Linked DNA regions of Lepisosteus oculatus. The protein of the gene in region 1 purifies or fractionates together with the protein of each later gene. This does not show direct contact. Links are inferred from orthologs where the notes say so. Each region holds a gene or a part of one and is shown in the gene's direction. Other genes may lie near its edges. The genes, in order: dnajc7, mlf2, vps13c and ift122.

Region 1 (6,880 bases):
GCCTAAATCGTTGACTGACCCAAGGATCTTATCCAGCTGTGACTTGAAGAAAGCCAGAGTACTGTCTTCACCAACAAGGCAGAGGTTTGTGTTCCAGAAACTCAAACCCTTGGCCTGTAAGTGTTTCCTATTAAAAACCTTAAATAAACCTTTGTTTCTGCTGTGTTCTCTGCTTTGTGGTTTTTTTTTTCCTGTTTATCTTGAAGACATACAACTGAAAGCATGAGCATACCAACTGGCTCCCTATGCAAGGGCAAAGCTACTGCATCCATCACATACAAAGGGACAGGTGAGGGTCATACCTCCTTCTTGTCCCTGTGCCTGTCAATGTCCTTCTTGAGGGCCTCCACGCGTCGGAAGGACTCCTTGCTGTCGATGCTGTACACCAGCACAAAGCCATCGGCAAAGGTGTAGTAGTGGCGAGGAAACTCCATGCCCTCCCTCAGCCCGCGGGTGTCGTAGAAGCGCACCTGCTCCCGGACCCCGCGGTCCGTCTCAATGGACCCGATGTAAATATCTTCAAGAGTCTCCATGGGCTCGGAGCCTGCACGGACAGACAGAGTGGTTCTTTCATTGCCGTCGCAATTATTATTATGGTTTTTAGCTACACCCAGCCAGTCTGAAACCTACAGCTGTTTCCGTGTATCGCCACTCACTGCAAAGATTCCTCTACTGTGCACAGGGAGGGATGAGGAAAGGCGGACGAGCTGACCACTCTACAAGAGCCACCATGCCTGACGGCAGGGCTGGTCTGGAGGGGAGGAGAGGCATCTCTCTGTGACATCACAAAGAGTCACAAGAGCTACCCCTGGCATTGCTCTGCCAGTTATGTGACTCCAGTGGTGAGATTTTGGTTACAGTCAGTTGATGATATGATCATTACAGTTACAGGTAATCGCAATGAAAATGAAAACAAAAATCACATTGAAATGTCTTTTCTTTGAACAGGGCACAGAAATATATAGAAAATATGTTTTTGAGGTTCAAGAAAATAATTATTTGGGAATTGCAACAATAGAATGAGTCATTACAGTGAACCTGAAGTTTGATAATAAAGAATATAAGAATATAAAAATGTTTACTAATCATAGGAGACCACTTGGCTCATCTAGCTGCATTACTACTAGGCACAAGGATCTCTTCCGTTTTCCAGAAAGGATCCAGAGGATTAGCTTAAACAAAACTACTGCGAGTCTTAATACTCTCACAACGCATCGTGTAAAAATTGTCTCCTGTTCTTGGTTTTAAATGCTCTTCCCCGGAGTTTTCACCTGTGTCCTCCGGTTTGAGCTCTCGATTTTGAACAAGCCCACTGCGCTGACTTTGTTAATTCCCTGGGGGGTTTTGAAAACTTGATTCAAGGTCCCGAGACAGAATTTGTGAAAATCCCCGACAGACCAGGTCGCGGTTACTTACCGACGACATGGTTGGCGTACAGCACATGTTCCAGCACAGCGGTTTTACCGACGCTGGCCAGTCCGCACACCACGACCTTACAGCTCTTTCCCATAGTCCGCTGGCGTCTACACGATATCAACAAAACAAGAAAAAAAATTTCAACAAAGCCCCATCCTCTCCTTTTTTTCGGATCGGTATGACTTGCTCGTTCTAGATTAGCCATCTGCATTAGCGGTAAACATTGATCTTTTTGTCTCTATTTAAGACCTTTTACACGCGGTTATTGTAAATGTCAAATACACGAGCACTGCGCTAGCTTTCAGCACCGTCTTCAGCATGTCTCCCAGCCTCGATCTACGTAGAAACGGTCACATTTCTTTTCGTTTTCAAGACGATACTGCTATAACGAGACGGGCCCAACCTGTTGAATTTTGAAAAGCTGCCGCCAGTCTCGGAAAAGAGATGTAACACTGCCGGCTTCCACCACAATCTTACATTACACCAGGAACACGGTGCACCACTGTGTAAAGCGGAGTGGCTGTACTTTATTCTCCATTCCTAAACCAGGAATAAGTGGCTTTCTGACAGCGAATGCACGGAACAGCTATCGTCCATTTAATAAGAGCAACTAGACGAGGAGCTACAATACAGAACTGCACACTGCGTTATTTCAGATGGATGTATTTCAGGCGCCGTTGAAAAATACAGTTTTGCAGGCAAGCAGTTCTCTTTATTACATCTTCCTGACTTTTACAACATAAAAGTAAGAGTCAAAACGCTCCCCAGCAAATTTCTCTTGATATTCCCAGAGATTAAATAGTACTGCATAAACCAGTGCAATTAAGTTTAAAAGAGGTTGCATTTATTACATCTTAACTGAAACATCATTTCAGGGTAAAATTTCATCATTTCACAAAAAGTGATGTAAAATAACCACGGCCAAGCTATAAAACACCGCGACGGGGAAAAAAGCGCGCTTACACTCGTTTAAAAACACATTTTAAAAAGGAACAAAAATGCAAAACTATATTAAAATAATTGAAAATACTGTACTGTTAAAGTGCAGAGGCAGACAACCGCGGCGATTTCCTGTTTACAATTTGCGTAGGCACTAACCCAACCCACAGGCTGCGAATCGATGGGCTGGTTACAGGAGCAACCTGGGATCGTAACCAAGAGCGACCCCTGTCGACCGGAGGGCGTTACGATTTCTAGCGGAATTTGTGATTGTGCGCAGGTTATAACAAATCCAATCATTTTTATATATAAGCTTCAATAATAATAATAATAATAATAATAATAACCAGCAGCCGTGTCACCCAGCAACTCACAACTGGCAGCCCACTGAAGCTCAGCAGGTGTGAGCCTGGTCAGTACCTGGATGGGAGACTCCTGGGAAAAACTAAGGCTGCTGCTGGAAGAGGTGTTAGTGGGGCCAGCAGGGGGCGCTCACCCTGAGGTCTGTGTGGGTCCTAAAGCCCCAGTATAGTGATGGGGACACTATACTGAAAAAAGCTGCCATCCATCAGATGAGATGTCAAATCAAGGTCCTGACTTTCTGTGGTCATTAAAAATCCCAGGGCGTTTCTCGAAAAGAGTAGGGGTGTAACCCCAGCGTACTGGCCAAACTTCTCATTGGCCCTTACCAGTCATAGCCTCCTAATAATCCCCATCTCTGAACTGGCTTCATCGCTCTGCTCTCCTCCCCACTGAGAGCTGGTGTGTGGGGAGCGTTCTGGCGCACTATGGCTGCCGTCGCATCATCCAGGTGGGGCTGCACACTGGTGGGGGTGGAGGCGATCCCCATTACCTGTAAAGCGCTTTGAGTGGAGTGTCCAGAAAAGTGCTATATAAGTGTAATTATTATTATTATTATTATTATTATTATTATTATTATTATTACTACACAACAGGTACAAGGCAGGGTCACCCTGGACGGGACACAAGTCCATCACAAGAGACACACAGATACTCGCTCACACCAGGGCCAATTTCCCCAGAAGCCAACAAGTCTGCCAGTACTTCTGTGGCCTGTGGGGGGAAACTGGAGCACCCAGAGGAAACCTACACGAACAGGGGAGAACATACAAACTCCACAGGAACTGAACCCAGGCACCAATGCTAACCACTGTTCTTAAGCGTCGCCTGGAAACCGTTCCTACCCTACGGAATTTCACATTTTATTTTCGTCATGGTTTTCATAGAGTTTTAGTCATGTTTGCCCTGATCTGGTGTCGGTTGGTGACGGCTGTTATGCTGTATTGTTGTGTTGGACTCCGAACACAGCTCCACCGGCGGATAATCAAGTCTGAATCTGAAGGGATGTTGGAGCCTGGCGCCGCCACTGGAGGCGCTGTTTGCGCCTTTTCACGTCGGCGTGTAGCGGCCGTGCGGGCTCGACTCTCTCCCTCCCAAAAAGGAGAGGAAATGGGTCTTTGCCGCAGGCCGCTCTAGCGCTCGGTGATTTCTACGGTTCCCGGAAGTGTCTGTCTTCTCTTCCCCGGCAGTAACATGGACGCTGTTGACTGCGATGTGATCATGGATCCAGAGCCGCAAATAATGAACGAAGAGGAGCTGGCGAGGTACAACGTGGATATTTATTTCAGTCGGTAGTCGCTAGCGCCGTGACGCTCTTGGGGATAGACCGTACATTAACAGATAAGGCTCGTATGTGGTTCTTGAGCCAAGTTTTGCCGGACTGCTTGAGGCCTACACCCTAGGACGCGGGCATGGGGATCCGTCCCGGTGTCTCTTCAGCGAGACCCGGTCAGCCGCCGGGGTTGGAAATCTGCTTTCAGCGGCCGTCTTTTACACAAGAATAAAAACAACGGCGTTGTCTACGCAGTCCGAGATGTAAACAATTATTTGAATAAAACAACAAAGGAAACCCGACATTTCCGCGAAGGTGTTTTGAGTGGCGTTACATAGTCGTCTTGATAAAACGAATCATTTGTTATTAAATAAATCGGATAGTTTTAGGTCAGGTTGTTGTATACGTCTTTGGCAAGTATTGGATTTTCCAGTGCTAGCCGGTCTCGTTTCGTTATAAAAAGGGGGAAATGGGTCACTTTGTGTAATTCGTTCTGTCGTCTCCCACAATATCTGAGTGAAATTACCTGGAGGTGTTGAAGGCCTCAAATACGTTTCTTTAGACGTGTAGCTGGAAATACACATGAAATAAACTCCTCTGGCAAGCGCGGCTGTCTTGACAGTTAATAAGAGCGACAGCACAGAGCGACCGAGTGAGACAACAGTGTTGTTTGTGCGCCCTGCTTGTAGTTGTGCTGTCGTTTGTGTATCAGCGGTGCCTCTTCCTTCTGCGGAGAAGTAATTCACTTTGTTTGAACCCGGAAAGTCGGGTCCCCGAGTAGAATGATCTCTTCCATGTGCTGTCTTCATTTTAGGTAACACGGTAGCAACTGGAATCGCGATATTCCAGTTTGTAGATTGGCATGTTTTTATTGGTGGCATCCGTCGAGTATTTGTTGTAGAGGAGTCATTGAAAGGAATTTCCGGCAACGGGACTTGGGATCTGCAGACTCTTCCTTTATAAACTCCCATACAGTCAATACATTATGACTTTTTTCTAGTTCGGGAACTGTATCAATGGGACACCGCCGTCCTGTCCCAGTAGCTGCACGCCGTGGTTGTCCGGCTGGTCAGCGCAGCGGGCGAGGGACAGCTCCGGGAATGATGAGATGGGGGTGGGGAGTCTGTAGAGGTCGGCTCTCACCAGCCTAAAATCGAAAGCCTGACAGCTGAAACAAAACCGAAACCGATTTTAAGTGGACCTTATTTCCGCTGGCTCCAGGCGGACGTCAGATTGACTGCAGCACACGAATCAACCCGGGAATACAGCGTCACTCCAAAAAAGCACGGAACACCGATCCTGCGCTTAAATCGTTTAAGTAGTTTTTACATTGCGGGTACGAAAAGCAAACCCAGGATCCTCACTGTGGGTGGCGAAGGTGCGCTTCAGAGTCCTTGCCCAATCATACTACCCAGCACTGAGTGAATCGAAGTACCTGAAGAAACGCACTCTGCTCTTTCCCTGTGATATGCTATATTATGGCAGGAAGATGTATTAAGTCACTATGTGTTTCTGTGCATTATTCCTCTTATATGGTATAGATACATGCCTTGGCAATGACTGGCACCGTCCCACTCTGACAGAACGTAATAGATTCTTCTGTCTCGTTTTGTTGTTGTGCTCATACTTGTATTTAGTGTGACATAGGCATAGGAATTGTGCCAACAGGAAAAGCCTGATGGAAAAACATCAATTACAGTTCAAGACGGGAATCCGATCATATCTTCTTTACTCAGTAATCGCTGTGGAACAGAATCAATCAGTAGTGGAATTTAGTGTCTCACTTGTGGCCTTCGGAAACCATAGATCTGGCTCAGGGTCATCCTTTGTTTTTAGGGCTTCCAGGGTTTGTTTCTTTTGTTTGGTGAGGTCTTGCTGCTGTACTGAAAAATGGACAAGCTGGAGGAAGACTTGGGGTAGAGAAGGAGGTGTCAGTTCCAGACTCCATGATGCAAAGAGATCTTCTCAGTGAAGAGATGCTGTGACAAAAGCGACAGATTCGTTATCAGATCAGGGATGTTAGTGTTTCATATATTGCCTCTCCATTTGGAGAAACGTTTCAGAAAGCTTTGCAGTGACATAGTGGTGTCACAAATGGGGCATTTTTTGTTCCAGGCTTCAAGCCAGTGTGAGCCACTGTAGTGTGTGATTTATACAGTGTTTCTCTATTGTAACTGTCATAGAATGCCACTGTTTGCCTTTATTTTTTTTTAAAAGGCAGTGGTTTGGAATTTGGTGTAGTGCTTGAGCACTTGAGTGTTGGTACAACGAGCCTGTATCTTTTGACTCTTCATGCAGAATTATCTATTCATTTCGATTCATATCTATATTCATTACTGTGTAAAGTTAACCAGCCATCCGACACTTCACATGGTGTAAATATAGCTGCACAGCATGGCTTAAGAGGAGCACTTCAATATGGACCTCTAGCACCATTGCACTACAAATAGCTCCTGTAAATTGTGATATGCGGTTCAGTATCTATGCTTGAAAATTATGCTCTCACTTGCATTTCACAGTACTGTCCTTAGAAATCTTATATAATTTGACCTTGGCCTGTCTGAGCTGCATAATACTTGCCCAGGTTTGCTTTGATGTTGCGCAGGGCAGTTTAGAGATAAATAGTTCTGGATCGCTTTAGAGCGAGGTCTCGGTTCTTTCTGTAATGATGCTGCGCCTCTAGATGATGAAGGAGAGTGCGTTTAATTTTCAGCAGTAATCTCAGAGCTTCCTCAGGCTAGCTCGTGACACAGTACAGTGCCAATACAGTGCATGTTTGTTCCAGAGAGGTGACCTATATTTCAATTGATACAGTGCACCAAGGGACTGGTGGCCTGGAAGAAGGAAAAAAAACAGTTATGGATGGAGGGTAGAGTGACTATTGATAGTTTT
Region 2 (7,697 bases), on another chromosome or scaffold:
GCACGGCTTAATTATGGAGTATCTTCACGGGGAATCGACGATGTCGTCAAAGCGGACTTGTTCAAAATGCCGAAGTGAAAGGGGAAACTCCGTGGAAATGCATTTAAAAGAGGGAACAGGGGGAGGGGAGGCGCTTTCTTTCCACACACAAGGGATGCGGGAGCAGGGAACAGAGCCAAGCTGCGGAAGCCAATATCCTGGCTCCGCTTCAAGTCTGGACTGGGCGAAAGGCTCATATCCAGTCGTTACCAAGGACAAAACGGGCTAGACAGGTCGGATAGTGTCCTGTTTGTAAGCCTTCTCATGTCCTCTGCCGCGCAGGCAGGAACCCGTAGCGCGGGGTCCCCGTCACTATGGAGGCTAGTGACTGCACCGCCGGTAGGACCAGCCCGGCCTGGCCCCTCACAGAGCCGCTGGGGTCGCGGTCGCCGCCGCAGGCCGGTTCCGGCTGCTCTCTGGCCCTGCGGGCGGAACCAAGCCGAGGTCGCGCTCGCGCCCCTGCCGGTTGCCGTCACAACCCAACTTCTCGAGTGACCACTTCCGCGAGGAGGGGGAGCGCGCAGGCGCGCGCGCGCGCGCCCCGGCCCGGCCCAATGCGCCGGCAGTGCGGAAATACGGAGCAAGAAATGTCTCAAGAATAAGAGTCAATACTAAAAAAGAAAAACCACCACCACAAGTGGAGAAAGAGACATTTCAACTCGGCCCACTCCCAGGTCGAGATGTACCAGCACTTCCCCTAACTTCAGACCTCCAGCGACAACAGTAGTGAAAGTGGAGTTACTGCTAAAAACACCAGTACCGTCAAGCAAAACGTCCTACTCACTGCAGTTAAAATCTCGGTTGAGTTTTTAAGATGGATCAGAGTCCGAACCGAGTTAACAGCCCGTGTTAACGTGTTAGCCGAGCTGAGATGCCATTATCACAGGTTTGGTTCAGAATTAGACGATGCAGGCGCCGCGGTTACCCTACAGTCGTTGCACGCTCAAACCCAATGCTAACTGTGCACGTTATAAACTCGAACGACATCATCGAGCGCTGAATCACTGAACGTCAAACTTTTAGCAGCCTTTCGATACCAACCAGTCCTGCAACTGAAAGGTATCCCAGCACTGGCGAATATAACAATCGCGGCCGAAATTAAGACCGGTGACTTTCTACCCAGGTGAACGCGGCTTGTCAAATGCAGCTCTTCATATCTCCTTAGATGAAAGTTTGTTGTTCTTTTTTTTTTTTTTAATATATAGATAAATACATCAAAAATGTCCCCCCAAACTCACCCGCTTTCCTGCTCCAATATTAGGCGTTGGTCACATCCGGGTTCTCGAAGTCGACGCGCCACGAGAGGGCGTTCCCATGGCGATCGCTCCGAGCTCCGCGCTCCGCGCTCCGCACTCCCCGGCCTCGCCCCGCCCCTACCCGTGCGTGTGTGCCTGTGGAGGCGCTCGGGTCTCCCCTAAATACCGAGAGCCACCCTCACGCACACAGCCGTACCAGTAATTCTCCTCCGACTGGTTTTTAACCTTTTCCATACTAAAAGCGTTATTGCTTAGTAAGGTAACTCCCCATAAGGATGCTTGATTGTTTAAGGAAGTGGGGGCTGAGCAAGACAACACTCACCGATTTTGTACCGTAATACGATTGAGAGTCTCCTGACCGGAGGTATTACGTTGTGGTATGGTCGAGCCACAGTACAGGACAGAAAAGCCACACAGAGGGTTGTAAGGTCCGCGCAGAAAATCACTGGGACTGAGCTACCCTCCATCAACCGGATATATCTCGACCAGTGCCACAACCGGGCTCGAACTATACTCCGGGACCCAATTCACCCTGGCCACGATCTGTTTTCACCCCTGGGTTCCGGTAGGAGGTATCGCAATATCAGAACACTGACAACTAGATTCAAAAACAGTTTCTTCCCCCAAGCAGTCCGCATCATAAACAGCTCAAATTAGCAGCCACACATATTAGCACCTGCACTTTAAGGAACTGCACTGTTTGTGCTATGTTCTGTCTTGGCTGTATTATAACGTCTGTTGTCTGAATTTATTGTCAATGTCTGTTTGTCATTTGTGCCTATTTTTTTCTCTCTCTCTCCTGTTACTGGGTCCCACTGAACGAGTAAGCATTCCAATATGCTTGTTGTATGGCAAATAAAAAAATAATAATCTTGATTCTGAAACACAGAAATTGGGTACTTTTGGAGAGGCGGCGTTAAAATGGCCAGTTCGGACAGGCACGGATTTGACGCAGCAGAGAACTTGGCACTAGTTAGAGGAACTGAGCGGAAACGCTGCTAACTTGATACGCATTGCTATTAAATTACTCCATTGTGACACAACCTTACTGTCCAAATAAAGAAGCGAGCTGCCTGGAGTAATTTAACATTACTGAACGAATGATCATTTCCAATTATTAACATGATGCTCGTCGGCAGATGACGATCAATGCAGTTGATTGATGGGATCACCCTCACATCTCACCCTGACTCCCCAATTTAAGAAATGCTCCTTGGCATTTGTACTGTGTCCCTTTCCACTTTAAACCCTAACAAACAGCTGATGTATTGGTAGGAACCTTTCAAGAGGTCTTGGTACATTAGGTAAAGACTGAACATAAGATGAACAGGAAGTGTAAAAGAGGGACAAGTGCAAAATAATGAAAAAAAGACTAAAAAACATACCCACATATTTTTCACTTCTTACAGGTAACTGGCAAGGTCGTATTCACTCGCTTAGGTAACTGATCGATACTTTCAGCTTGGCAAAAGCCAAACATTCCTTTTCGTCCACTTCAGCGGCAGACCAATGGCAACCATTTAACTGGCAGGTCTGGGTTTGATGAATATAAATCTGAACGGAAGGTATTCATCTCATTACGGAGCTGGATCTGCTACCAAGACTAATACTATGATTGGTTTTGTTATGTCAAAAGTGCTAACAAGTTCTGCCGCTATTCAGATGGTGGTTGTTCTTTAATTCAGCCACTAGACTTTATTCCTTTCAAGTTTGAATGTGATTTATAAATTTACACAGCTCATTTATAGCGGGGCAAGAAGGAAGCAGAGCACAAAGAATTAGCCAGAAACAAGGCTTGCATTTGATTAACCATTCGGTTCATGGCTACTTTAACCCATGTATAGTGCATATTTTCCACACAGTTGGGGCTGGCGGCCGCAATCCAGTTAGATGTATAGCTGTTTGATTTAAACGACATGGAACATCAGTATCAGTGAGTTGTAAAAAAACCCAACTACATCTCAGTTCAGTTACAGAAATAATCCTTCATCAGAATGAGTTGGGCACAAGTCCTCGAAAACTTTCACGATTCATTATACAGTAGGAAATTGAATGATTTTTATCCTGATCAGTGGAAACTCTGAGCTCACTTGATATAAACCTAGTCACTCGAAGGGACTGCTTTTGGGATCTGAAACAAGAAGCTGAAATAGAAGAGGTAGTTCAGGACAGAGAAATGGAAGTTAAGAGTCTACACTATGACTAGTGGGGGTCTAGGTGGCTATGCAGTCAGAGCAGATTCCAGCTTTGTGTCAGTCACAGGTTAGCATACTGCTCTAAACTTAGTTCCTGCACAGACTGTTAAGTCCTAAATGTTTCATCTTTCTAAAACCAAAAGCTCTCAACCTGGGGTGGCACTGTGTTGTAGGGGTTAGAACTGCTGCCTCATACGACTAGGGCCCTGGGTTCGATTCCAGGGGACTTGGTGGGTTTCCTCCCACAGTCCAAAGACACGCAACACATCATTTGGTTGGAACCTTTGCAAGATTTTTACATGTATGCTTAAGATCTCCAACTTTTGTGTGACTTAAGAAACCCTCCAGTTAAAAGGCAACCCCCCTAGACGTGTAGGAGCTGGAAGCAAGGGGTTCAAATTAAATTTAAATTTAGTATCAGGTGTATTAAAAGGTCAATTATTTAACGGAGTGCTCCTGAAAGAAAACCCAGCAGGTGTGTGGTGGCCCCCAGATCCTAGGGTCCCTAGATTTGGGAACCCCAGCTCTGGATCTGCTTAGACAAAGCCTTTTTGGGTGTATTCCAGTTATCGTTCTCCATCAACATTTCAAAGACGTGCGTGCGTGCGTGCGTGACGTGCAATCAACAACACAACACCGGATTACTGTCACGTTGCGCCCTTCACGCCAGGAAACACTACAGTGCAATATTATATATATATATAAAGATCAATTACAACGCCCCCACTCAATAGAAATTGACAAACGAGCAAAAAGAAATCATTTAGACATTCAACAAATCCCCAAGGTACAATCATTCCTGACGTGACCTGCTAATTTCACAGACCGAAAGGAAAACCGACGTAACCTCCGGGAGAACATTAACATTTGGTTTAGTGACGGTTCTCTTACAGCTTTATAAAGCTAATTAATAGGGTCCTGAAAAAAAAAACCCAAACAAACCAAAAAGCTAGCTGCAAAGAATGCAAAACGGTCGGTCTCCGAAGTTTTCTTGAGCAGCTGTGACCATATTGATCGCGACTATTGGTGCGCCGCAGTGACGTCAGACGCCCCCCTTTCATTCGGCCCAGCTGAGTTGAGGCCTGGAGCTGCCATCAATTTAGTAATTAAAGAAAACGATTCTCCCAGACAAAACTCCCCCCCCACCCCCAGACATCGACACATATACCCTCCCGCAGACCTCTCGAGTGCGGCCAGGAGCAGCAAGAGGCAAGCAAAACCCCAAAAAATGATGCGCTCCACCCCAGTGTATTTAACCCCCCCTTCCTCCCTCCGGCATTGCTGTAGTCAGTTTTTGTCAACCCGGTCAGCCAGACGTCACGTCCGGTATTTTCGGGTTAGCGAAACAGGTCCTCGGTTTGTGTTGTGTCGGGTTTAAATCCCCGTTTTTTAGGGGGGGGGACAGACTTGCTTGGGACGCCGGGCGTCGTTTTCAATAACAGGGGGACTGGAGGTGTCGTTTTAGGGAAGGCTGACCGTGCGAATCGCCAGGGGAGCAGGTGCAATAAGGTGTAGTGTAGCTCGTTCCCGGAGACGGAGGAAGATTTCTTTTGTGAAGTCCACTTCCGCCGACGAGAATGTTGTTTTGCTTGTGGGATTTTCACCAGACGCGACGAAAAATTTAAAGCCACTTCCCATCAGGATTATATATATATACACACAGATATCCGTATCTAACAGAAGCGTTCAGTGCATGCAACCGGCAGTTAAAGCACAAAGAGGGGTTTCGGAATCGGTTCCTTTGTGCAAAACAGCGAAATATTTCGGTTTGTGATTCAAAACAGCCGTATGTATCGACTTAGATAGCGTCCATTGAGCTACCATTTTTTTTTATATAAATACGGTATAGAAACGGGCTTGCAGGCTTATCCCTGGTGGGAGACCCCAGTGTAATTTATCTTCACAGCGCTCGACACGACACAAAAAGATGTTCCGGTATTTGAGCGATGTGGACGAAAACCCTTTTGTGATGTGAGTATATGTCAACTGTCGTATTCTGGTTGTATAACCGTAGTTGCTCCTGTTATGAAATCGTTCGTTGTTGGTCTTCTTTTTTTTTTTTCCAGCGGACTTGATCAAAGCCGGTTTGTTTCGTTTCTGTTCTGTGGCTGCTGGCCTGTTGTATCGAATGGTTCTCGTCTACACAGCGGTTTTTAAATTTTAACCATGCCATGCCTATAGGTATGGACCTAAAAAGACGTGTTTTTTTTTCTTTACTGACCTCCGCCCGCTGTAGTTGGTTCTACTTTTAGACGTATAATTCCATCGTTGTTCAAGTCAATTGCACGTTTGGATCACTATGTTTCTAATACAACAGTGGGTGGTTAATAACGTTATCAGACAAACGCTGAGCCCCGATGACTGGACTTGATCAGTTAAGTGACTTTCATTGACATGGACGTGACTGACTGGACTGTCTTCACTAAGTTTGATTAGTTACCTGAATTCATACCCTTATGCCTGTTGACACTGAGAGTACACTTGTTCACTCGATGCTGTGCTGGACTGATGATACCGTGAGCCCAATTTAGTTATCACCTGAGATTACCAGACTCGCATTGACAGAGCCTGAAGTGTGATTTACTGAGTTTGGTTAGTCATCTCAAATCATAACTGGGCACCTCGCTTGCACTGACATCTGTGACTGCAGGCTGTACTGGCCTGACTTTACAGTGTGTTGGATTTGTTATGAATTTATACCATAATCTGACTTGCATTGACATTAATAGAGCAGTCTGAGGCTTTCCAGGCTGTACTATTTTGCCCTGTGCCAGAATGAACGCTGTCTGCCTTTTGAGATTGATCAGTTTTTATTGGAGTTATCATTGTTCATTCAGTAACGCTGATGACAGTGTGATTGGCTCTAGGCTTTGTTGAGATGTAGGGACTTTAAGATTAATTAGCTTGAATTATAACCAGACTCTCTGAAGCATCCCAGGGCTTTTATTTTACAAGGCTGTACTATTTTACTCTATAGCTTTTTTTAAATTACTGACTTGGGAATATGATGCAGTTTTGCATTTCTCTATCAATTTTTCTCTTTCTTTGTACATCTAGAGATGGATTTGTGCTCCTGTGAGCTCAATCTTTTCAGGCCAGATTCCCTACAGACATTAAAGAGTGGCTTGAAGTGTTAAGCGTGCATCTCCTTCTTCCTCATTAGCCAATTAAGGTTATTCAGATTTTGAATAGTGAGTACTGTACCATAGTATAAAATATCATCGAGTCCTGTATGATGGGGGAAAAACATGTGTTTAGTGTTGGTGATGTAGTAACAGACAAATAAGTTCTGGAACCCGTGATGACGTTTAAGTAACTGAGTTTATTGCATCCAAGGAACAATAAAACCAAAGTATAGTTTAAAATATATGTACAAAATGTCCAGTTTATATAGCAAATTTCAGCTGCTTCGGACGCAATTGTTACCATGGTAATGGGGCTGGGCACCTGTGTTTGGACATTCCCAAGACCTTTTCAAGACGTTTTATCTTTCCTTAGTTAGGGGGTCTTTATCTTGCACTTGGAATTTCATCTCGATTAACTCCCATCCCTGCCATAACTCAAGGGCGCCTAAGCATGGGATGTCTTGTGTTACAAGAGGTCTTTGTGCGGAAAGAAATCGGTTCACCCCCTTTTCACATCTTGTATCTTTCTTCAGTGATTTTCCAATTAAGGCAAAAATGAAGGTGAAAGAGATTGACGGAATGACAATGCGAGTCACTGTAGTGGTGAGACTACAGCGGCACCGCTTGAAGAAAAGGTGGAGGTCTTGCGTGTGGCTGACCTGAGTTCAGAGACGACCGCACCTGTGCAGCCTGAGCCAGCAGGGCTGCATCTGTACAGCAGGAGTGGTGTTGCCTCCCAGAGATTCAGTGGGTCTGTGTGTCAACACTGGGGGGGGGGGATATGTTAGCGCACTGGGAGAGCGTACCCAATGTTGACTTTGTCGTGTGCCATTATGGCTCATGAAGGGCCTGAGGCCTCAGGAAGGTGACCAGGGTGGCTTCTGCTCGAGCCTGAACAGTCTGGAAGTCACTGCTCCCAAATGCTTTGAGGAGTAAGCCTGGCAGAGGTTGTAGGCAGGAGCTGTAAACGGTATGTCCTGCTCTAGCAGAGCTCACTTGCTTGAAGAACAGTCATCCTGAGTAGATCTGCCGGAGAAACGGCAGAAATAGCATGTGTAGCATGTCGAAGGCACCCGGTGGTT
Region 3 (7,896 bases), on another chromosome or scaffold:
CGAAAAAGATGGAGTAGAGATGAGAAAGATGACTGGAGCTGGATGGGACATGAGGCTGAATAACATCTTTCTATTGTAGGCAGGTATGACTCATACCTTGTCAGGAGCTTAGGAACGAACCACACATATTGGGGATCAGAGGAGCTGTTAGAATTGATTAAAATAAGTTATGGAGTCAACTACTGAAGAATAATTTAGAGAAAAGTCATTTTAACTGCATACTGTACATTAAGGATTGTTTTGCATGATCATTAATAGAAATGAACTGATTTATAAATGCAAAACAGTTGCACATTTCATACATTATACAGTATATATTTTTGTAGATATTCAAAGTGACTTGCAGGCAGTAATTTGTCCTTACAGTGCATAACACAGTAGAATGTTACATAAATGCTAATTTCTACATAAATAGTAGAAGTTTTTTGGTAATTTTACACTTCATGGTTTTTACTTCAAACAAAAACACATGCATAGATGCACACAAAAGCAGGCAAGTACTTTAAAAATTTGATGTTTTTTAAATGACAGTTCAGGCTACTCGATCAACAGAATATATTACTGTGGATACTCATTAAAAGTCTTCACCTGCTGGTACATGTGCAGGCCTTTGACAGTACTGTCATGCAGCTCACAACATGAGAGAGTTATGACTGAGCCAGCAACATTAAACATACTGTATAGGATTTTGACTACTTGGATGACATGCCCTGATCCAAGAATTCAAAATCCTGAAAGACCTTTACAAAGTTATTCTAGCCACGTTGTTGAAGGCAGAACTCGGGATTCTAGGAAGCAAAGACTGGATGAGATCCTCTGATGAATGAACTACTGTATCAAAAGAGCTAGATGAACCAGATAGTCACCCCATGTTTGTAACCTTACTTACAGTACATATACCTCCAGTACCTGTTAGTTCTTATAAACCTGCTGCTGGAGGAATTAATACATCACTTACATTTTGACCCAGATAATCTCACTCCGGTGTGCACATTCACGAAAATGGAAAAACAAATAAGCGAATTAAATGTTCTCATTGTATCGAAAAACTTTTTGATTATTCTGTTACGAGCAGTTTACCTTCTCCATCGCTTATCTGTTTAACCTTTTTTTTTCATGAGGCATGCTCATGCCCGTGAAGAGTACTGTTGTGGTTTCACCATTTCCATGACTACAGTCTACTAGGAAAAGGGGGAGGGTCCTTCCAGAGCGTGCTCCTTCCTTCCACATGGGAGGTGCGCTTGAATGGGATTGGAGCCGCTCCAGACATCACAGCCCTATTTATACAGCCCGCAGCGCTCAGCACACCAGAAACCTGAGCAAGCCTGAAGTGGGGGAAGACCTGCAGCTGAGAAGCTCTCTGACAACACTGGACCATTTATGGTAATTCTTCAGCAAACCCGTCTTTAAAGACGCATTGCTGAATTTCTGAAATCTCTGAAGGTAAGCTTAAGACTTGGTTTTTGCTCATAAAGTTATGTTTATACATAAACCGATTCATTGTTTAATGTTATCATAGATTTTTGTAATAATGTGAATTCTTTTTTTACACATCAGCAAGACAGCTGTATAATTTCATATATGACACACGTCAGAATGCCAGCTATATATCAGCACTTATGCTCACAAGTTGTCTTCTGCTTTTACAGATTTGTGCGCTTCTTCTCTCTGATCTTTTGCCCATGTGGGTGATGGACAAAATCCGCGTGTCTGTGGAAAGAACAAGCCTGTCTCTCCCCATAACGGAATACAGTTTCAAAATCGGAGACATCATGTTTGGAGGAGATAAGATGTCGTCTGCGAAAAACAAAAAGATCTCCCTGTGCCCTAATATCATCACCCCCGACAGAATCCCCGAGTTCTGCATACCGCCGAAATTCCCCTCCCAGCAGGACCTCAAGACTGCTGAACTGAACAAACCCACTCCCAGCCTTAAGATTTCCTCTTCGGAAAAGGGCAGTCCTGGAAACGTTCCCCAGCACCGAGAACTGGTCAACACTCATGTGATCCAGGTGGAAAGTGTGGACGAGATGCCCTTTGACTATGGATACAGTGACGAAGAGAGCACCAATGCTGATCCACAGTCCCAAGCTGCACTGTCCTTGCCCCATCTTGCAAAAGCCCAGACCTCCTATGGGTTTTGCACCTTGCTTGAAAGCCCACACACCAGGAGAAAAGAGTCTTTGTTCCACAACGATCCCGGCTCCTGTGGGATCCCAGTGGTACTTCCCAGAGGCAGGTCCAGCACGTACTCAAAAATCTCCTCGTCCACCTTCAGCCTGAACGCCATAACTTCCAGGCTCTCCCCCAGAAGTTTCAGCTTGAACAGGCAGGGCACATTGGACAGTGACACTGCTTCATCCACAGAGTCCTCCCCTTTCAGCTCTCCCATGTTAAACAGGTCTCCCCCTAAATCCTCTCTGTTCAAGGCACTGAGCCAGGAGAAGCTGCTGTCCAGGACTGTGAAGAAATCAACAGTGTGCAGGAACAATTCTTTGTCAACAGACGAGGGGAGTTCAACAGACAACAGCCCAAATATCTTGAGAAGAGCATCTGAGGGCTTGATAGACCCCATGCCCTGTCCCTATGGCTTGACCCCCCCTGCAATTTTCCCAATGGACCTAGTGTACTACAGGGATAGATTCATGAAAGAAAGCCTCATACCCCTGGGGAAAAATGGGACCCTAAGACTTTCTGCTGAGTATAGCCCAGAGAATCAGAGGCTCCGTGTGCGCTTGATCAGTGCAGAAGGACTGTATGCCTTGTCCGTGGATCCCAAAAGCATCAACTGCAGTGTCAGCATCTCTCTTCTGCCGGGAAAAATCCAGAAGCAGCGCAGCACTGTGATCCGGAAAAGCCGGAACCCTATTTTCAACGAGGACTTTTTCTTTGATGGAATTTCTGAAGAAGAGCTGTCTTACAGGTCTCTCAGGTTTAAAGTTGTTAACAAAATGTCAAGTATGAAAAGAGATTATGTTTTGGGAGACTGTGAGCTCCCTCTGAGCAGCATTTCACCTGCATAATGATTCTACAGGACACCTTTTTTACTATTTATATGTATATACAGCAAAAAGTGTTATTTATTTATACTTTTATACTTTGCTAAATGCTGGTTTGATATTAAATGGCAATTTTGAAAAACATGCTCAGGTGTTGGGTGGTTCTTTTTTCCTCATACCGATACAGAACAGCTACTGTATTAGAAACAAAGTAACAAAATACTTTCACGATAAATGTCTGTATTCATCTTTATGTCCTTGTCCTTTAAACAGTTTGTGAGCCACATACAGTAAACCTACAAATAGAAAAATACAGTCTAAACAAGGCTATTGTGTATTATACCTGACTACAGCACAAGTTGATCCTTGTCAAAGAAAACATCAGCACCCTCAGAGATCCAGGTCTCCTTTATTGCAGGCAAGCTTGATTCATATATTCATTTACTAATTGTAAAAACAAATCTATTTCTTTCTTCTGTAAAGAGCAAGTCATTTAGGGGGTTCCTTCTTAAAGAAGTACTGAAACTGCTTTAGTTTCATTCAAGTAACAGCTGTAAATCCTACAGGTATAATTCCAGATATACATATCCCAGTGCTTTCAAAAGCTCTTTAACAAATTAAAAAGGTTATGTAGAATAGTAAACAAAATAGGTAAATGTGATGTATTTTTATTGTGATGTGAGGAATACACTTACTGTGTTCAGAATTTTGAATCTTTATATATGAATAGTAATATTCCTAATTCTTGTATTCCAGTTTTAGTTGAATACTAATTTAAATCTGATACATTTTGAAAGTGATTTGATATGAATCATTAGGCACTCTTCTACTAGTACTGTACGAGCATTTTAACATCAGGATCAGAAAGAGATTATCAAGAGTCGCCTTTACAATCTGTAAACAATGAGATGGAAAATCGGGAGATCGTAGTGTAGAAGTTCCCACTGGAACAACGTAAACGTGTTACCTGTAGGTGTGTTGGAATTCCGTCTAAATAAAATAAAAGTTCTATCCACAAATTATTTTAACTAAAATAAATAGTATTCATAGTAAAAATATTAGCATTCAGCAGAAGCAAAAATTACACTAATGATGTTAAAAATCCAGTGTCCGAACTGAACAGGAACTACAGGAGGGTGCACTTTTATAAAACACGTTCCAGTTTTCGGTATGGAAGTGATCATGTCTTTGAAACAGTATACCAAGAAACAGCTCTGCAAGCCTTCAGCGGTTTTAAAAGAGCCGTAAACACGTTGAACAACTGAAAGGTGTGCATGAATATTCAGTCAGCTACAGTGAGAACTGTCTTCAGGTGTACTGTATATATTAATTTACACGGCTATGCCTTCTCAACAAACTACTAACAAACTTTAGTAGTTTCGACGAGTAACATAAAGTGCACACATTTAAAGATTGTAAGAAGTAAGCAGGAAATCAAGCGTATAGGATGTTATATTTTCCTCTTCTTAAACTGATATTCTTTCCAAGGTTACATATTTACAGAACATAAAGTATCACAGCATAACACTTGAATTGAATATACGAAACAACCACATCTGATAAAAGATTAATTTTAGATAAGTGCCAGCTCTTTCGCTGTTAATTGCTTAAATATATATTATTACATCATATATTAAAATATTTCTAAGTCATTAATTACTTCTCATTTACCTGGGTTCACACTAAGATATCTTATTGCAGTGACTATAAGCGCCATAAATGTATTAGCTTAAAACTCTTAATCGTTTTCATTTAACTTGTCAAACCTTTGCAAACAGCTCGATGACAGTCGGTTCAAAGGTCAGGGTGACCACTGCACCCGCAGGCTGAATTACCGTAATACCGCTGCGGTCACACTGATTGACTGCATCCGCAGACGGTGTCCGCCGCCAGTATACTGTACAGCTCAGGCAAAACCAGTTGATTACAGAAAATCCTACCCTTTCGGTTTAGCACTTGTACTACAAAAGGGATGAGCCAGGCATCACGGGATTGTGCTGCTCACACTGCATCGAGACAGCTGCTTCTTTAAGACGGAGGCAGGGTGCACCGCTGTTTAACCATGGTGTTTGAGTCTCTGGTCAGCGATTTATTAAACAGGTTTATAGGCGACTATGTGGAAAATCTTGACAAGTCTCAGCTGAAGATTGGCATTTGGGGAGGTAGGATTCTGCGTGCATGTTAACGTTTTCACTGCTTTGTAGCTATTGCTATTAAGACGGAATCAGGAAAGTAACTCTCATGGTTCAGGGCCAAAACATGTCAGTCTCGACAGTTGTAGCCAACTGAGCGAACAAGAGTGTATTACAAAACACATCACATGACGAGCGAAAATGCCTAAGTCTTAAGTTTGCAGTATGTTGATTTATTCAACGCAGTACAGATGTGTTGATTGTCGCATTTGAGGTGTACAGTATACGGTTACCCAGCTGTGTACACGTCCATAATTAATGTTTACACTGCTGTGTGTGGGAGGGGGGGTGCTGTACACAGTGTACGAGCCCAGCAAGGTTTGTGTTTTTCAGTGTCTTGATGAATGCTAACGTCGCCTCTCAATCAGAATCAACGCCTCTGAAGGAGTCTTTAGCATGTGAGAGATAAGCCACAAGTGAGATTTGATAATACTCTTCTCTACTTGTTTATAAATAATGCTAAATGAGAAACTGAAATATCCTGGGCGGTCTGCGTTTTTTGGCATCCAAATATTAAGAAACCTCTTATTTCTAATTAAAATATAATTCATTTTACTTCATTTTATGGTGTATAACTTGGGTGGAGTGGTGGCACTGTGGCTAAGAGGCTGTGCCTGTGGCTGGAAGCTTGCCAGTTCAAATCCTGTGGCCAGCAGAGGAATCCTGAGCAAGGCCCTTAACCCTAACTGCTCCAGGGCAAGTGATCTTGTCTTGACTTATTTTTGAAGAGTGGAATTGTCCACAGTTCTTTTGGAGCCGACAGCATTTTCTTTTTTGCTCTCACTTATGTGACAAAACCAGTTTGAGATGAAGACAAAGCTTCTAATGAATTATTTTTGTGCAGAAAACGTAATGATAGATGATGTCAATATGATATGTGTTTGAGAGTTTAATCCTGCAAATAGGATTTAATAGCAGCCAATATAACCAGGTGGATAACTGGGCAGTATTTCTAGACTTAGTTTTTCTGCTTTTTCCTAAAGAAGTTTGGATATATCGATGTACTTAATGTACAGTATATAAAAGATGGCAAAAGGCAAAATTTTAAGACCATTCATACGATGTTGTAGTGTCTGAAATATCTATCAAGACAGTATTTTGTGACATTGTCCATAAAATATTTGTCATCTGTTATTCTTTGTCTAATACAATAGAATGGCATTCAGTTGAATAATATATGTTTGGGGATGGACTCTAGTGTTGCATTTGTTTCTCAAGGCTTTAGAAAGGCCTGAGTAGAGTAGTTTCATGGGAGGAGCTTAATTCTTGGAAGCCAAGCACGTGTTTCTAAAATTGCCTTTTGCCATGTTCTGCCACAATAAAAAGGTGCCCAAAATTGTGACCCGTTTCCCTGTGAGACAGTAACTCCGTTTCAAGCACATTAATGTGCAGAGACACACCTGACATTGCTGATGTTCATGGGTGTTTCAGTGTCATGGATAATGACGTATAACTAGACAGTGGTAAAACAATCATTATTCTTCTTTTCCTTCACATGGATTGTATTATACAGATATTCTTTAAACATTTTCAGGTCCGGTCATGGAGGCCAGTTTTAAAATGTTGGTTGCTAGCTATTTCTCCTCAGTTATTAACCTCCTACAAGAATCCCATTGAAACAGTCATTTTGTTGGCAAAAATGTTAACTTCAGGTACTGAGTATCTTCATTCTTCTTTCTCCACTTCAGTAATGAAATGACTCAGTCAACCACAGTATAACAGTATACTGTTTTCTTTATTCTACTACTGAATTCTTGTACTTTTAATTAACTCCTACAGTAGTGAAAATGAATGTTGCACAGTGGAGCTTTTAGAGGAAGAACGTCTACAGTGTATTGCATAAATCCCTAGATAAACTAGACTGGTTTGTCTTGTTATGCTGTACATTGACAGAGCTACAGTACAGTACATTAAGAGTAAGAATGTTGTCTAGTATGTCATTGACTTTTCTTAGGGAAGATGTGTTTCATTCCCTTTTCTGATTCTGTAAATTGGTTTAAATTATTGAAGACAATTCTGTAAAACAAGAAAGAAGAAAGAAAAATCTACCACAAATTCACCCAGGTCTCCACTGGTCATGTCTTTTGAAACAGCTCTTACCTCATCATTATTTGTGTTGCTTTCACAATCTGTGCATGGTTGAAATCGGGTCTAAATCATTAACTTGGGTTCTGCCCACCCATTATCTTCTAATTGCTAATGCCACAGTTTTGTTTTGGTCTAAAAAGTTAAACAAAATATCCCTATTAGTGTTGCTTAAAGTAAAGCACTTGGTGAACTCAGAGAAGTCTTGTCTTTTGCTTTTATTAAGCTTGTTATATTCTCTACCTTCACAGTGATTAGCAATAACCATGGACACCAGAAACCTGTGTGGACAATTTTCTTTACAAATTAACATGATTCTAACCTTGTCATTGTCTAATAGTGATTGCCCACAGATTAAAATGTCCTCATTAATTAAGCAACTATTAACTTGTTAGTTAATATTTATTCCTCTAGTACAAGGTTTTATTCATCTGTGCACAATGAAGATGCAACAGTCTTTAAAGGTTTATTTCAGAAGTTGATTGGACACATGCATAATGTTATTGTCATTTTTAAATAGCGTGCAGAAAGGTTTTGTGATTGTATGATTAGCTTCATCCCTTGGGATAACAAAATACCAGTCTCAATGTTTGATTTCTGAGTTAATATTATCAGAATAG
Region 4 (7,129 bases), on another chromosome or scaffold:
GGGGTACTTCCAGTGTTTTGTTAAGTATTCATCTGCAATGGCAAGAATCTGAAATGTAAGCCTTTCGCACCTGTACAGAGTTCAAAGGCTTTACGAGAGCAAAGGTTTGTTCTCCTACAAGAGTCTGCTATCTAAGCAGGTGCAAAACCCCAGTCGGTCACATTGGTGCCAGTAGAGAACAGGATCAAAATGAGGTCACACACAAAACTGGAGAGAACTCTTTCAAGTATCATCAGAGACTTATACTGTGCTCTTTTTACCTTGTGTGTCTGCTGAAAAGTGAAAATTTCACATTGGTTTTCTAATACACAATGTACAGTAGATGGAGGGCTGATTATAAAATCATTTTGACTATGACTGATTGTGATGGGCAGGGTGAAATTAGATAAGCGTCATTATTACATCCTTTGTTAACCACAACATACAGTGGTTGTTATCCATAGTCTGTGGATAATAAGCAGAAACTCCCTATCACCCAATTATGACAGGGGTGGTGTGGTGTGTCTGTGGCTAAGGAAGTTGGGGTATGCGAAAATACAAATTCCTAATACAAGAAATTGCATATGGCCAATAAAGTGTTTTATCTTATCACAAAGTGAGCTTAGTGCACTACACTCCAAATACAACATACTTACTTCTGCAAATCGTATGATTACACTGATGAAAAGAAAAACATGGAAAAATAATCCTCAACATAATCAGAATATTATGAACATTCAGTTTTATGTAGTTCAGGACTATGGTGAAGAAATCCATCCTTACATCTGTTTTCTAACCGGTTCTTCTAGTTCAAAGTACCAGCACAGAAAGAGCTTACCCTGGCAAGCAACAGGCACAAGGCAGGGTACACCCTGGATGGGATGCCACCCCACCACAGGGCAGATAGGCACCAACACACACACGCATACAACTCACACCTAGGACTTGTTGAAGAAATCACTGTGACACACAAATTGCTTAACATACTGTAGCTACAGTATAGTGAGAAATACATAATTGCTTCTTTTTTGGTTTAAAACATTGTATCACTCACCTGAAAACCTCACAATTGTTTTGGCTCTGAGTTCATTGAGGCCCAGAGGTTTCAGCAGTTCAGCCATTTCTTTCCAGTCGCTGACACGGGCCACCTCAGGAGACGGGTAACGCCCAAAGAACTCCCACAGCACAGGGATTGCCATCTTACCTAAAAGAAAGAGTCTCTTTACTTTCAACTGACAGAAAGACAGAACTGAACCGCGCCCCACATCCGAACCTAGTATTTTAGGTTAGCTCTCTGTGAAGGGAATTGTCTCATTGTCCTGTTCTGTTTGAAGCCACAACTCTTACCGCTGGTTCTATTGAGGAAAATGGTGGCTATCAGAAGCTTCCAGGGATCATGGAAAAGAGTCTCCTGTACCAAGGCAAAAGGAGAGCGAGGCGGAGTCCATTTCTTAAAGGCCTTGCGTCTGGGTGGACTTGGAGCTAAGAAAAATAAAGTGAACATGTTTCATTTGGGAGAGTTGTCCTTTTTGTTCCTGGTAAAAGTTGAAAATGATGTTTCCTTACCTTCTCTGGCTAATTTTCCAGTGAAGTACTGGCTTGTTTTTCTTTTCTCTGACAGCATTTTTATGCCACAACCTGAAGGTAAACAAAACAGTACCAGATTCATTGATGGACTTGGACAATATTTCAATGTTTCTATCTAAGGTTTTCTTAAGCCTTCTCCTTTTGTAACTGAATATACTGTCTATTTTCATTGCAAAACATATCAGGCCACGATTCCTATTCGGTTTGGAGAAACCCCTCAATGTTCCCCAGAACGTTAAGAGCTATACTCAAAGATTTAACTTTATGCTTACTGCTTTGCTGCTGTTTCACTGATGTAAATGTCCCCGAGTCCCCCGGAGGAAGTGAATCACCATCTTCTAGCGCAGACTCAGTTTCAGGTCCGACAACAGCTTGCTGTGTCTCTGCAGCGTTCTTAGACACAGGCTGTAAGGCACTTTTCCCTGGGGCAGAGGCCTCAGGCTGGTCACACACCACTTCTCCCGACTCATTTTCACCTTCTGGGGAAAGTGCGAGCTCTGCTCCTTTATCCGCTTCACTTATCTGGGTCAGTCTGAGAAGCTTATCCTTTAAAAGTCCCTTTTCAGTCTCTTTTTGATCTCCAGTGTGGTTTGCAATTTGATTTTCTCCTCTTTCACCGCTCACAGTCAGTGCGTTTACGTCATTTACCTCACATTCCTGTGCCAGTCTGAGAAGCTTGTCTTTTAAAAGCCCCCCTTGAGTCTCTTTTTGGTCTCCAGTGTGGCGTTGACTTTGCCCTTCTTCCATTTCACTGCCCGGAGTCAGTTTATTTCCCCGTTTGCCCACTGCTCTTTCAGCACCGGCTTTTCTAACCCTACTGCTGGGATCCTTCCTCTGTTTCTGTCCTCTCTGTGGTCCTGCGGGAGTGAGCTTTGTCAGTGAGTGCCGACGTTTAGCCCTGGCTCTGCAACTTGTGCTTTCAGATTCTGAAGACTTGGATTTCTCAGCACAAGGCGCAGAAAAGACCCCGTCAGTGGCAGCATCATGTCCAGACAGCTCTTCTGACACACTGCTGGGTGACAAGTGTTCCTCTTCGGCTGTAATCTTAATGTCAGTTGTGCTGTCCAAGACGGTTTCTGAAAGTTGGAGAGCTTTCTTCTTTTTTGTCCTCTGAGGTTTTGTTAACTGTTTGTCCTTCCCAGGTACAGAGAAATCAAAATCTGCACCCTTGAGACAGAGTTCTTTGTTATTCTGAAGGTAGACATGGAGTGAAGCTCTTGATCTGAATTTCCCTCCCTGTGGACTGAGTACACCAAGTGTTAATTCCTTTGGTTCAAAACAAAATACGTCTCATATATATATATATTGTTCTCAGATCTGACTAACAGTTACAAAAACAACTGTACAAATGTATTTTTAAAAGCTTGTTTTTCTATATGGTAATGCATAGGGACCATTCTCTCAGACATGCAGACTGCAATAAACATGAGTAACAACATCTATGTACAGCAACAAGAAAATAGAACCTGAAGTGTTGTGCCTCTTTTTAACACAGGTTTGAGCATTGATGTAGATATAATTACTTTATAAACATTTGTAAAAACATTTTTTAGAGGATGTTATTGACCAATCATAATTGTTCATTTTCAAATGCCCTTGTGCTTATCTAAAATGGGGAAGATGTATTTGGGATCATATAGACACTTGTACTATATTTATAACCCAGTACCTGATGATATATACGTCTACTTTCCCTGCCGTTTTTCCAGATCGCCTCTGTTTCACCATTTTAACCCAGCCTGGCGGGACTCCGAGACAGCAGCAGGTCTCCATACACGAGTCGGGGCTGGGACTCTGCTTTGGTGCAGCTTTCTCTTGCTGGTCCTCATCTGACAAAGAGGGCTCTTCACACGCTATTGCTTCTGTGGTAGCAGTTTCACTAGGTTTGGAAACAAAACACACAAGTTTCCAAAATGTCTAGTTACAAAAATGTTGTCTATGAGACTAGGATAACCCCGTGCAATACTATAAATCCCTGTAACATACGGTATATAGTACCACAATTAGCTATTTAGTCACGAAACCTGCCTTTAAAATTAATACACATGCATTTCATAGCATGTCAACCAAAAATAAAATATATACAAAACGTTTTTACGAATATAGAAAATGTACTGAAAATGTGTTCTGCTTATGTTAAATTATAATGGCCATAGATAAGAAAAGCATAGGTACAATATAAGCAAACAATTAAACTCTGACTAACAGTATATATCATTAAAATAACTGGACTAATACAGCTTTTAGATCACTTAGCTGTTTTGCTTTCTTACCTGACAGTAGTTCTGCTATTAAGATCATCCATCCGTAAACGCGGTAACTCAAATTCATGCATAAACTGAATCCGTAAACGTAAAAACTAACACACAGTCATGCTGATTTAGATCAGTGTTCCATCGTTAAAATGCTACCGCTCGACGTATTAGAATTAAAAAGATGGAATTACAATAACTCTGCTTTGGAATAAAACCGTGATGCTTGACACTTTCCTGTATACTTCTCCTGTCGCACATGCGCAGACCGCTCAGCAAGCTACATGCAGTGTGCGCATGCCCAGTGTGACTCCGAGATGTAAACAGTGTGATTGCGGAAAGAAGTGGGTTCTCTACATTGTTAGTTTGCTTTGAGGAAGGAAAGTGTAGAGCAGCTCTTGCTAAAACAGAACCACGATGAGAGCCGTACCGACATGGATAGATAAAGTGCATGATCGGGATAAAGTAGAGCAATGGTAAGAAGGAGACGTTTTTAACCACGTATGGTCGCTTAGCGGCATCTGTAGGCCTGTTGCTAACACCGTTGGCTGTCGATAGCAACCATGGTTGCCAATGTAAACTGTGTGAGGAAAAATGTGTCACTTTAACATATGGTAAAAATATTAAACAACTACGTTGTTTTTGGAACTTTGTCATTATAAAATATTGAGTCATTTAAAGTCGTCGTGTTTATTTGCTTTCAGTTCATCCTAGGCATATGGCTTATTTTTAGCCAGTTACCATACTAAGCACTCAATTACTCTTGCATCTGATCGAATGAACGTGTGTATTTATTTAAATGTTTAAATTGTTGTGATTGTTTAAATTGCAATAACAATTGTGATTGTTTATACCCTGAGCTGACACATAACATGCATTCAAAGATAAATACTGTACACTGTGCAGGTTTCGCTGATCATATTTTTAAAATCATTGCTTTTCACTTGATTTTTTTCCCACTTACAGTAATAAAATATGACCAAATCAATCGCTTTCCCAAACTGAGGAACAATTTATCAAACGGACAGATGACATTGTTACGTTTCATTGAGTTTTTTGTCCTTCTTTTGACATTATGTAGAAAGACTCAAATATGTATGGTGATTGTGTTATGAAACATCCCACAAGGAGTTCTATCATAAACTAATTTAAAAAGTATACAACTATAGCTATAGTAGTATCACGAAGCAATAGTGCATTATTGTAACTATAAATCATTCTTCCCCTAAACAGTATTTACGACCTTGCGTTCAAGCCAGATGGGAGTCAACTTATAGTTGCTGCTGGAAATCGAGTTTTGGTACGTGCTTTTGGAAGTTGTGATGTATTTTGTGTAAAGATATATATATATATTATTTAAATACTCTTATACGAATATAGCATTTTTCGAAGACATATTTCGAAGAAATACTATGCCTTCGTATTTTTAACGTTTTACACTTTCAGCACCTTGAGTTTATTTTTCTGATTTTTTTTTAAATCTCAGGCAACTGTGGAATGTTCTTTGTGGAAATTAATTATTTTGTCTTGTGTTTTAGGTTTATGACACAGCTGATGGAACACTTATCCAGCCTCTAAAGGGGCACAAAGACACAGTATACTGTGTTGCCTATGCCAAAGATGGTCAGTTTTTAAAGCCTGCTTTGAAAAAAATGTTACTGTATATATGCTCTTCCCATACTAAATAAGTATCTTACATATACACAATAAGGTGTAGTAGCTTGACAAAATAACAATATATTTTTTTTCCAGGGAAGCGTTTTGCTTCAGGTTCAGCTGACAAAAGTATCATCATTTGGACTTCTAAGCTGGAGGGAATATTGAAGTATACGTAAGTAAAACATTTTAAAGTCCTCCTGAATTTGTTTTTTTATCTGCACCTTTACACTTGTTGATGTAATAATTTTACTTTTGAGAAGTAACAATCGTGACACAAAAAGCCAAATAAATGACCTTTTATGAAATTTCTTGTCTTATGAATTCCTGTGTACAATGGGCTCTTCAGTCAACTTTAAGGAATTATTTAATAATACCATTTAGAGTTCTCAACTGGGTTTTACAAGGGTTTAGCATGGGTGGTGATCTGGCCATTCCTAGTGAGGTCATTAATCCAGCCTCCATAGGAATGGGCAATAGTATGAATACAGGAATGTAAAGGAAGGGTTAGTAAGGAGAGGAAGAGGAAGAGACATCATTATCATCATGAGAAGCTTGTGCTGGGAGAGAGTGCGTCTTTCAAATTAGACTTGAAATCAGGTGTAGTCCAGGTAATTTTAATCCAGAAAGAGCAGCAGATTCTGAGCCATATTATTTAGGTGGTTTGTTGTTTTACTTGTTCAAGAAAATTGTTGTTTCATATATTGTGCAATCCTCAGTCTTAAACTGTCTTTTGTATTTTACTGATTTTAGAATAGGAAAATTGGCTCATCGAACTGTGAGCATCTGTTTAGAGAGGGCGATTTAGTGCTGGTTAGAATCCCTTTCGTTTAAAATGCAGGTTCTTTCTTTTTGGCCTGTTAAGGATAAAATTATTTGATTTTCTGTGCCTATATAAGGCAGAGCTCTGGAGCTTGCAGACATGTAAATATCCATTCATAGTAAAAACATTGTATGCTGTGCAATCTTGTGTGTTGTATAGTTCTGTTATTTGTTAGAAAATAAATTGTGTAAATTTGGGCCCAATTTCTATTCTTTTATGAGGATATGCCAGAGAATAGGTGCTGTGGAATGCTTGATAATCCCAGATTTAATTAGGTAAAATTACTGATCTTTAAAATTTACTTGTATAGCATCCTAGTACCAAGACCTGATTAATATTTGATTGTTATACTGAATTGATAACCTATTTTATCATTTTAAAATCATAGGTTGTAACAATTTGACAATTTGTTTTGTTTTTTAAATAGCCACAATGACTCCATCCAGTGCGTTTCATATAATCCAGTTACACATCAGCTGGCCTCCTGTTCGTCCAGTGATTTTGGTGAGTTGTTTTGTTAAGATATGTTTGTGTTAGTATAACCTTAGGGAAATAATTCCGGTAATCATTAGTGATCTCTCCGTACTTAAAACACAGATGCTTATCATTGACAGTTTGATAACTACAGCAGCTTCTTTACTGACTATGGAAAACAATAATATATTATGTGGAGTATTGATTTGATAAAACAGTGGTATTTTTGTAGAAAGTTGAGTAAACATTAACATGAATACTATATTGTATTACCTATTTAGGTTTGTGGTCTCCAGAACAAAAATCTGTCTCCAAACACAAAGTCAGCAATAAAATCACATGTTGTGGGTAAGTTATA

The links.
Region 2: the proteins of dnajc7 (region 1) and mlf2 purify together in Homo sapiens (affinity purification with mass spectrometry; 3 studies listed by BioGRID and IntAct, with this or other methods). This does not show direct contact. The link is inferred for Lepisosteus oculatus from reciprocal best matches to the Homo sapiens genes DNAJC7 and MLF2.
Region 3: the proteins of dnajc7 (region 1) and vps13c purify together in Homo sapiens (co-immunoprecipitation; 4 studies listed by BioGRID and IntAct, counting the BioPlex papers as one, with this or other methods). This does not show direct contact. The link is inferred for Lepisosteus oculatus from reciprocal best matches to the Homo sapiens genes DNAJC7 and VPS13C.
Region 4: the proteins of dnajc7 (region 1) and ift122 purify together in Homo sapiens (co-immunoprecipitation; 3 studies listed by BioGRID and IntAct, counting the BioPlex papers as one, with this or other methods). This does not show direct contact. The link is inferred for Lepisosteus oculatus from reciprocal best matches to the Homo sapiens genes DNAJC7 and IFT122.

Annotation. Positions count from the first base shown.
Region 1 is NC_090723.1:5,515,949-5,522,828, forward strand, and holds the start of dnajc7 (dnaJ homolog subfamily C member 7), read left to right. Parts: upstream 1-3,872; 5' UTR 3,873-3,909; coding exon 3,910-3,980; intron 3,981-6,880. Other genes in the region: nkiras2 (NF-kappa-B inhibitor-interacting Ras-like protein 2), read right to left, coding at 303-544, 1,417-1,510. UniProt on the Homo sapiens protein: Acts as a co-chaperone regulating the molecular chaperones HSP70 and HSP90 in folding of steroid receptors, such as the glucocorticoid receptor and the progesterone receptor.
Region 2 is NC_090718.1:3,191,929-3,199,625, forward strand, and holds the start of mlf2 (myeloid leukemia factor 2), read left to right. Parts: upstream 1-4,680; 5' UTR 4,681-4,699; intron 4,700-4,779; exon of another isoform or gene 4,780-4,999; intron 5,000-5,396; 5' UTR 5,397-5,417; coding exon 5,418-5,461; intron 5,462-7,697.
Region 3 is NC_090700.1:57,745,069-57,752,964, forward strand, and holds the start of vps13c (intermembrane lipid transfer protein VPS13C), read left to right. Parts: upstream 1-4,884; 5' UTR 4,885-5,061; coding exon 5,062-5,161; intron 5,162-7,896. Other genes in the region: c2cd4a (C2 calcium-dependent domain-containing protein 4A), read left to right, coding at 1,683-3,023. UniProt on the Homo sapiens protein: Mediates the transfer of lipids between membranes at organelle contact sites. Necessary for proper mitochondrial function and maintenance of mitochondrial transmembrane potential.
Region 4 is NC_090699.1:55,798,469-55,805,597, reverse strand, and holds the start of ift122 (intraflagellar transport protein 122 homolog), read left to right. Parts: upstream 1-4,109; 5' UTR 4,110-4,235; coding exon 4,236-4,294; intron 4,295-4,713; exon of another isoform or gene 4,714-4,846; coding exon of another isoform or gene 4,847-4,854; intron 4,855-5,051; coding exon 5,052-5,118; intron 5,119-5,356; coding exon 5,357-5,441; intron 5,442-5,570; coding exon 5,571-5,649; intron 5,650-6,724; coding exon 6,725-6,801; intron 6,802-7,052; coding exon 7,053-7,119; intron 7,120-7,129. Other genes in the region: mbd4 (methyl-CpG-binding domain protein 4), read right to left, coding at 1-32, 1,034-1,183, 1,327-1,461, 1,546-1,617, 1,839-2,809, 3,236-3,445, 3,840-3,901. UniProt on the Homo sapiens protein: As a component of the IFT complex A (IFT-A), a complex required for retrograde ciliary transport and entry into cilia of G protein-coupled receptors (GPCRs), it is required in ciliogenesis and ciliary protein trafficking.